Macaca fascicularis: one gene and its partner. The protein of the gene in region 1 purifies or fractionates together with the protein of each later gene. This does not show direct contact. Links are inferred from orthologs where the notes say so. Each region holds a gene or a part of one and is shown in the gene's direction. Other genes may lie near its edges.

Evidence for each region.
Region 2: the proteins of HAUS5 (region 1) and HAUS2 purify together in Homo sapiens (affinity purification with mass spectrometry; 5 studies listed by BioGRID and IntAct, with this or other methods). This does not show direct contact. The link is inferred for Macaca fascicularis from reciprocal best matches to the Homo sapiens genes HAUS5 and HAUS2.

The regions. Positions count from the first base shown.
Region 1 is NC_088393.1:42,850,197-42,854,469, forward strand, and holds the start of HAUS5 (HAUS augmin-like complex subunit 5), read left to right. Parts: upstream 1-1,181; 5' UTR 1,182-1,228; coding exon 1,229-1,326; intron 1,327-2,178; coding exon 2,179-2,241; intron 2,242-2,316; coding exon 2,317-2,349; intron 2,350-2,480; coding exon 2,481-2,505; intron 2,506-3,415; coding exon 3,416-3,521; intron 3,522-3,600; coding exon 3,601-3,760; intron 3,761-4,273.
Region 2 is NC_088381.1:19,171,845-19,175,656, forward strand, and holds part of HAUS2 (HAUS augmin-like complex subunit 2), read left to right. Parts: intron 1-1,769; coding exon 1,770-1,878; intron 1,879-3,812.

The DNA.
Region 1 (4,273 bases):
TCTGACGGGGCCCAGCAGGCTCGCCAGAACTCCAGCCCTACTGCTTTCTGGGCATCCCGCAGACCTCTCACACCTGCTGTGTCCCAAACTGACCCACCCCTGCTGCTTATTTTTACCATCCCTACCTGGTGGTGTGTCTGTCTCCCCACTGAACTGTGAGCTCTGTACAATAGGGACAAGGGCTGTCGTGGTCACCATGTTGTCCCCAGCATCACCCAGCACAGAGTCAGCTCCCTGAGTTTATGGAATGGTAAGCACAAATGAATGGGAAAATGCATGCCAGGGAAATGTTAGGGTCATACTATCTGCCCCTACCCTCCACTCAGACATGGGACACCTGTTTCTGAAATCAAAGAGCAGTAAGTCCAGGATCTCATTCCCTGGTTCCAGTCCTCCTAGGCTGCAAGTCCCATTTTGTCAACAAAATAAAGGGGGCGGGCACGGTGGCTCACACCTGTAATCCCAACACTTTGGGAGGCTGAGGCGGGAGGATCGCTTTAGCCCAGGAGTTCAAGAGCCCAGAAGCTGAGACTAGCCTGGGCAACATAGTGAGATCCCATCTCTATTAAAATAAAAATGTTGTTTTTTTGTTTTTGTTTTTTTTTTGAGACAGAGTCTCGCTCTGCCGCCCAGGCTGGAGTGCAGTGGCCGGATCTCAGCTCACTGCAAGCTCCGCCTCCCGGGTTCACGCCATTCTCCTGCCTCAGCCTCCCGAGTAGCTGGGACTACAGGCGCCCGCCACCTCGCCCGGCTAGTTTTTTGTATTTTTTAGTAGAGACGGGGTTTCACCGTGTTAGCCAGGATGGTCTCGATCTCCTGACCTTGTGATCCGCCCGTCTCGGCCTCCCAAAGTGCTGGGATTACAGGCTTGAGCCACCGCGCCCGGCCTAAAATAAAAATGTTTAATTAAAAGAAGAAGAAGAAAATAAAGGGAAGCATCAAGGACTCTTTTGCCTCTTTCGGGTTAGCTGGTAGTGAGCGAGAGAACGAGGGAAGGCGGGCGGGGCCGCCGGCTCTCCACGCCCTTTTCATTTCCACTCAAGGAGACCCACCTGGGAAGAGTGAGCGCTGCAAGACCCAACCTTACCACGCTAAGGTTACTACGCAGCGCCGGAGCCCGCTGTCTGCCCGGCAACCGATGACGTCCTGTTGGCGCGTCCGTGACGTCAGAGGCGGGCGCCACACTTGAAGAGGCTGAGGGAGGCGGTGGCGCAGCTGTGGCGCTGTCATGGAGCTAGCGCGGGAAGCGCGGGAACTGAGTTGCTGGGCGGCCGAAGAGATGGGGGTGCCCGTGGCAGCCCGAGCCCGGGAATCGACGCTGCGCAGGTGAGGACCGCTCCTGGAGTGAGGACTCCCCACCCTGGAGATTGAGTCTCCGGGAGTGAGATCTCCACCCCTCATTGAGGACTCGACCCCCCGTTCCCCATCGAAAGTGACCCGAGTTACTGAGGGCTCCCTGCCCTGGGAGGCTTCCCAGAGTGAGGTCCCTAGCACTGGTGAGAATCCTCCACGAGTTAGTGAAGATCCCTCTCCGTATGGAAATAGGATCTCCAGGGTGAGGCTGTCCCCGCAGCACCTCCCCTTCCCACCCTTACCCCAACCAAAAAGGACACTCAGGAGTTAGCCGTGGCCACCCCATCGGGATTGAATCTGTAGGAGTGATGCCCCACATCTGGCCATGAGATGGCACTTCCTGGCAGTACATCCCCCACCTCCACCTCTGAATGTGACTGGATAACCCTCTCCCAGGAGAAAGGGAGCCCTCGCCACTCACCCCCACCCCCACCCCCCATCCCCCACCCCCGCCTTCCCGGGGAATGAGAATACCACCATACTTAGTGCAAAGATCCAGTCCCTACAAAAATAATGTTTTACCAATTAGCCGGGTGTAGTGGTGCCTGCCTGTAGTCCTAGCTGTTCTGGAGGCTGAGGTGAGAGGATCGCATGAGCCCAGAAGGTTAAGGCTGCAGGGAGCTATGATCATACCACTGCACTCCAGCCTGGGTAACAGAGCGAGACTCTGTCCCTAAAAAAAAAAAAAAAAAAAAAAGTTTGGGCCTTCCCTCCCCAAGAAGTGAGAACTCCCTAATAAAGACTCCCTACCACCATCACCTTGGGAATGAGGATCCCACACCCTGTGTGCTGCCCCAGGCATACGCTTACACACTGTCCCCACAGGCTGTGTCTGGGCCAGGGGGCTGACATCTGGGCCTACATCTTGCAGCATGTGCACAGTCAGAGGTAAGTTGGGCTAGAGTAGGGGAGGGGGCACAGGTGAGGTCCGTAGTAACTCCTCTTTTTTCCTCTGCACTGTAGGACTGTCAAGAAGATCCGAGGAAACCTACTCTGGTAACTGCTTCTTAAAGCTATCCCTTCCTATCCCCACTCCCATCTAGCCCTGTCCTCACCACAGCATCACACCTGTTGCCCTCCCCACTGGAAGCCCCACTCATCCACTGACTCTGGTCTCATTTTCCTAGGTATGGCCACCAGGACAGTCCACAGGTAAGAAGCATATGCTGCAAGATTCTCTTTCATCCGAAAAATGATTTGTAGATCTCCTGCTCTAAGCCCAACCAGGTGCTGGGTGATGCTGGGGACAATGGGTCACAAGATAGCCCTGATCCCCATCCTCATAGGGCTTAAAGTCCAGTGGAGATAGCATTAGCTCAGCTGGGAGCAGTGGCTTACACCTGTTATCCCAGCACTTTGGGAGGCTGAAGCGGGCGGATCACCTGAGGTCAGGAGTTCGAGACCAGCCTGTCCAACATGGTAAAGCCCCATCTCTACTAAAAATAAAAAATTAGCCAGGTGTGGTGGTGCACACCTGTAATCCTGTCTACTTGGGAGGCTGAGGCAGGAGAATTGCTTGAACCTGGGAGGCAGAGGTTGCAGTGAGCCGAGATCGCTCCACTGCACTCCAGCCTGGGCAATGCAGTGAGACTCTGTCCAAAAAAAGAAAAAAATATAAAGAGATAGTATTAGCTGGGGGCAGAGAGGTGGGACATGGATATGTGGCATCAAAGCTGCTGAGAAGAGATGAAGGGACAGGTTTGGGAGAGATGCTGAGGCCAGTGTAGGACCTAGTGGGTGTAAGAGGCTCATATGACACCTGAGGGGAGGCTTCCAGGAGTCCTTGGGACTTCTAGGTGCAGGGCTCCAGGAAGAGATCAATACTAGGACAAAGATGTGGTTGTCATCAGCACAGACAGGAAACAGGAAACAGGCTGGAAGTATGGGTAAGACAATCCTAAGAGGAAGGAGGGAGCCAGTACCCTAATGCTTCTGCGTCAGACACAGAAACTGCTGAGCAAAAACCCTTTGCCACCAGTTGAGGAGCCTGGTACCCCCAAAAGACAGGCCAGGCTGAACCCCGATCAGACCGTGCATCTCACCCTGAATCTGATCCTCCCAGGTCCGTCGGAAGTTAGAGCTGGAAGCTACCGTGACCCGCCTGCGGGCAGAAATCCAGGAGCTCGACCAGAGCCTGGAGCTGATGGAGCGAGACACTGAGGCTCAGGGTGAGCCATGGGGCCAGAAAATGGGCAACAGAATGTGGGCCGGGAAAGGTGCTGATGGCCACCCTTGTTCCTCCTACAGACACAGCCATGGAGCAGGCACTTCAGCACACTCAAGACACCCAGCGTCGAGCTCTCCTCCTCCGGGCCCAAGCTGGGGCCATGCGAAGACAGCAGCATAGGCTCCGAGATCCCATGCAGCGGCTGCAGAATCAACTGAGGCGCCTGCAGGACATGGAGAGGTGGGCCTCAGGGACCCACCCTCACCAGGCTGGGCAGCCAGACATTCTCTTAGAGACCTCAGGGCTCTGCCCCGATCCCTTCTTGGGTTCCAGAATTCTCAACTCCCACCATTAGGATGGAAGGTCCATGAGGCCAGGAGGTTTTGTCATCTCAGTCACTTATATTTCCAGTGCCTAGAATAACAGCTGTATACCTAGAACACCAGCTCTGGGGAAACAGCCACAAACAGAGAACAAGTCCTTGCCCTCCTGGAGCTTACACTGTGACACGGAGAAGACAGATAGTAAACTAGGAACCAAACAGACCCTATCATTTCTGGTAGAGATGAGTGCTGTGAAGAAAAGCCTGTAATAGAAGGGAGAGGGAGATGCTGCCCTAGCGAGGGAAGGCCTCTGAGGAGGTAACATTGAACTGGGAGAGGAATTTCTGTGCAGAGGGAATAGCAAGAGCAGAGGCAGCGTGCTCAGCATGCAGGAAGAGCAGCCAGGGGCCAATGTCAGCTCGAGTTTCTC
Region 2 (3,812 bases), on another chromosome or scaffold:
AAAGACAAAACAAGGCTGGGCACAGTGGCTCACGCCTGTAATCCCAACACTTTGGGAGGCCGAAGTGGGCTGATCACTTGAGACCAGGAGTTCGAGACCAGCCTGGCCAACATGGTGAAACCCTGTCTCTACCAAAAAATACAAAATATGCTGGGCATGGTGGCACATGCCTGTAATACCAGCTACTGGTGAGGCTGAGGCAGGAAAATCACATGAACCCATGAGGCAGAGGTTGCAGTGAGCTGAGATTGTGCCACTGCACTCCAGCCTGGGCAACAGGTGAGACTCTGTCTCAAAACAAAAAACAAAACAAAACCCCTTTCCTGTGGCTATATTCAGTATCTCTTTAGTACATTATCATTACCCTTAGCGTATATACTGTACTACATCTAAGAACTGGGCAATGATTTGAAAGCGTTTTTGCAAATGCAGAGATTCAAAGTAGCTTTCTATGTAGGCTATTTCAATGAAGTACATTTATTCTTATTGTCTTCATTTTTCACAGAGAATGAGTAGGTTGAAATGGAATGAGGCCGGGCGTCATAGCTCACGCCTGTAATCCTAATAATTTGGGAGGCCAAGATGGGTGGATCACTTGAGGCCAGGACTTTGAGACCAGCCTGGCCAACATGACAAAACCCTGTCTCTACTAAAAATACAAAAAGTAACTGAGTGTAGTGGTGCATGCCTGTAATCTCAGCTACTCAGGAGGCTGAGGCACAAGAATCACTTGAATCCAGGAGGCGGAGGTTATAGTGAGCCGAGATTGTGCCACTACATTCCAGCCTGGGCAACAGAATGAGACTCTGTCTCAAAAAGAAATAAATGGGGCCGGGCGAGGTGACTCATGTCTGTAATCCCAGCACTTTGGGAGGCTGAGGCGGGTGGATCATGAGGTCAGGAGATTGAGACCATCCTGGCCAACATAATGAACCCTGTCTTTGCTAAAAATACAAAAATTAGCTGGGCATGGTGGCATGTGCCTCTAATCCCAGCTACTCAGGAGGCTGAGGCAGGAGAATTGCTTGAACCCAGGAGGCGGAGGTTGCAGTGAGCTGAGATTGTGCCACTGCACTCCAGCCTGGTGACATAGTGAGACTCCATCTCAAAAAAAAAAAAAAAGAAAAAGGAAACAGAATGGGATTTTTTTTATCTAGGGAAATTCCTTTACTTATATGAGAAAATGATTATGATTAACATTGAGGTTTCTTTAACATTAAGTTGGATTCCAGATATGATTACTGTTATCTCTTTCCATTTTTTTATTGGATGACAGGTTGCTTAAAGTGAAAGAGAAGGACCTTTTTTTAATCACTAATATTTCTATGAATGCAGGAAGGTTGTTATTGGCTCTCTAGGTTGATTGTAATTCTTATCTCAAATTAAAAGTCCTGATTAAAGGAAAAGAAAAAGAACGCAAAACAATTAAACTTTAAAAAATGGTTAGGCCGGGCGCGGTGGCTCAAGCCTGTAATCCCAGCACTTTGGGAGGCCGAGGCGGGCGGATCACGAGGTCAGGAGATCGAGACCATCCTGGCTAACACGGTGAAACCCCGTCTCTACTAAAAAATACAAAAAACTAGCCGGGCGAGGTGGCGGGCACCTGTAGTCCCAGCTACTCGGGAGGCTGAGGCAGGAGAATGGCGTGAACCCGGGAGGTGGAGCTTGCAGTGAGCTGAGATCCGGCCACTGCACTCCAGCCTAGGCGACAGAGCGAGACTCTGTCTCAAAAAAAAAAAAAATGGTTGACTTTTTTCTTTCTCTTTCAGATATATGGTACATTTGCTGGAATTGGCTGTGACTTTCATTGAGAGATTAGAAACCCACCTTGAAACAATTAGAAATATACCTCATTTAGCTGCAAATCTAAAGAAAATGGTGAGTATTAATATAACTATCTTTAGTTATTTTATACTAGAATCTTAGAGGTATGCTCTCCCAGTTTAACTTTTTAATAGCTAATATTACGAGCTAGTTATTTTTTAAATCAAGAAGTGTTTTCTTGGCCAGGCAGGTGGCTCACGCCTGTAATCCCTGCACTTTGGGAGGCCGTGGCAGTTGGATTACTTGAAGTCAGGAGTTGGAGACCAGCCTGGCCAACATGGTGAAACTCCATCTCTACTGAAAATACAAAAATTAGCTGGGCATGGTGGTGCACGCCTGTAATTCCAGCTACCCAGGAGGCTGAGGCAGGAGAATTGCTTGAAACTGGGAGGCAGAGGTTGTAGTGAGCCGAGATCGTGCCACTGCACTCCATCCTAGGCAACAGAGCAAGACTCCATTTCCCCAAAAAAAAAAAAAAAAAGAAGTGTTTATTTAGACCTTGGATTTAACATTTTCTTTTTCATATAATTTTTCTTTAGAAGCCATTTTAAATTCTTTTATTCCAACATTTAATAAACATGTGTTGCCTTCATTGTGCTGTGGCTATGCTACATGTATTGTGAAAGATAGATATGACCAAACCCTGCCTTCAAATTCTCAATGTTTGGTGAGACAGCTATAAAATATGTATTTTCTACTTTATAGGATTGTATTTGCATAATCGATGCAGCAGAGAATTATAAAGAGATGCCATCTATTGAGCATAGAAAAGAGAGGAATTACTTCCAGTCTAGGAGGATTCTGAGTAGGATAGGGGTAGGAAGACTTCAATTAAGTTTTTGTTTTGTTTTTTAAATAGAGACGAGTTCTCACTATGTTGCCTAGGCTGGTCTTGAACTCCTAAGCTCAAGTGAGGCACCTGCCTCAGCCTCTCAAAGTGCTGAGATCACAGGCATGAGCCACCACGTCCGGCTTCAATAAAGATTTATTTAGGTGTTAGCAGTAAGCCGAATCTTTTTTTTTTTTTCTGAGATGGAGTTTCACTCTTGTTACCCAGGCTGGAGTGCAATGGCATAATCTCGGCTCACTGCAACCTCCGCCTCTTGGGTTCAAGCGATTCTCCTGCCTCAGCCTCCCAAGTAGCTGGGATTACAGGCGCCCACCACCACGCCCTGCTAATAGTTTGTATTTTTAGTAGAGATGGGGTTTCGCCATGTCGACCAGGCTGGTCTCCAACTCCTGACCTCAGGTGATCCACCTACCTCGGCCTCCCAAAGTGTTGGGATTAAAAGCCTGAGCCACTGCGCTTGCCAAAGTAAGCTGAATCTTCAGGAACAGGTGAAATTTAAGTATGGGGGAAAAGTGATACTCCACTTTGGCTGGTGCCTAAAGGTATTGAGGAGATTAGCTTAGGGTTAGTTTATGCAGTGCCTTAAAAACCAGACTAAGAATCTTAGACTTTACTGTCTGAGTATTGGGGAGCCATTGGATATGTGTGTGTGTATGTGTGTGTGTCTATGTGTGTGTGTGTTTTCTTTTTTTAGTGAAGGGTGCAGAGGAGTGACTTGATTAGAACTGTGCCTTAATCATGGAGAAAATACTGGATAGAGCAGACGGAGCCTTGCTACTCCTAAGTATGGGCAGAGAGTATCAGCATCACTTGGAAACTTGTTTTAAATACAAAACTACAGACATCATGCACCCTAGACCTTCAGAATCAGAATCTTATGTTTTAACAAGCTCCTCAGGTGATTCCTGTGCACATTAAAGTTCGATCAGCTCAGGCCAGGCGCAGTGGCTCACGCCTGTAATCCCAGCACTTTGGGAGGCTGAGGCGGGCAAATCACAAGGTCAGGAGATCGAGACCATCCTGGCCAACATGGTGAAACCCCATCTCTACTAAAAATACAAAAATTAACATGGTGTGGTGGCGCACGCCTGTAGTCCCAGCTACTTGAGGGGCCGAGGCAAGAGAATCGCTTGAACCT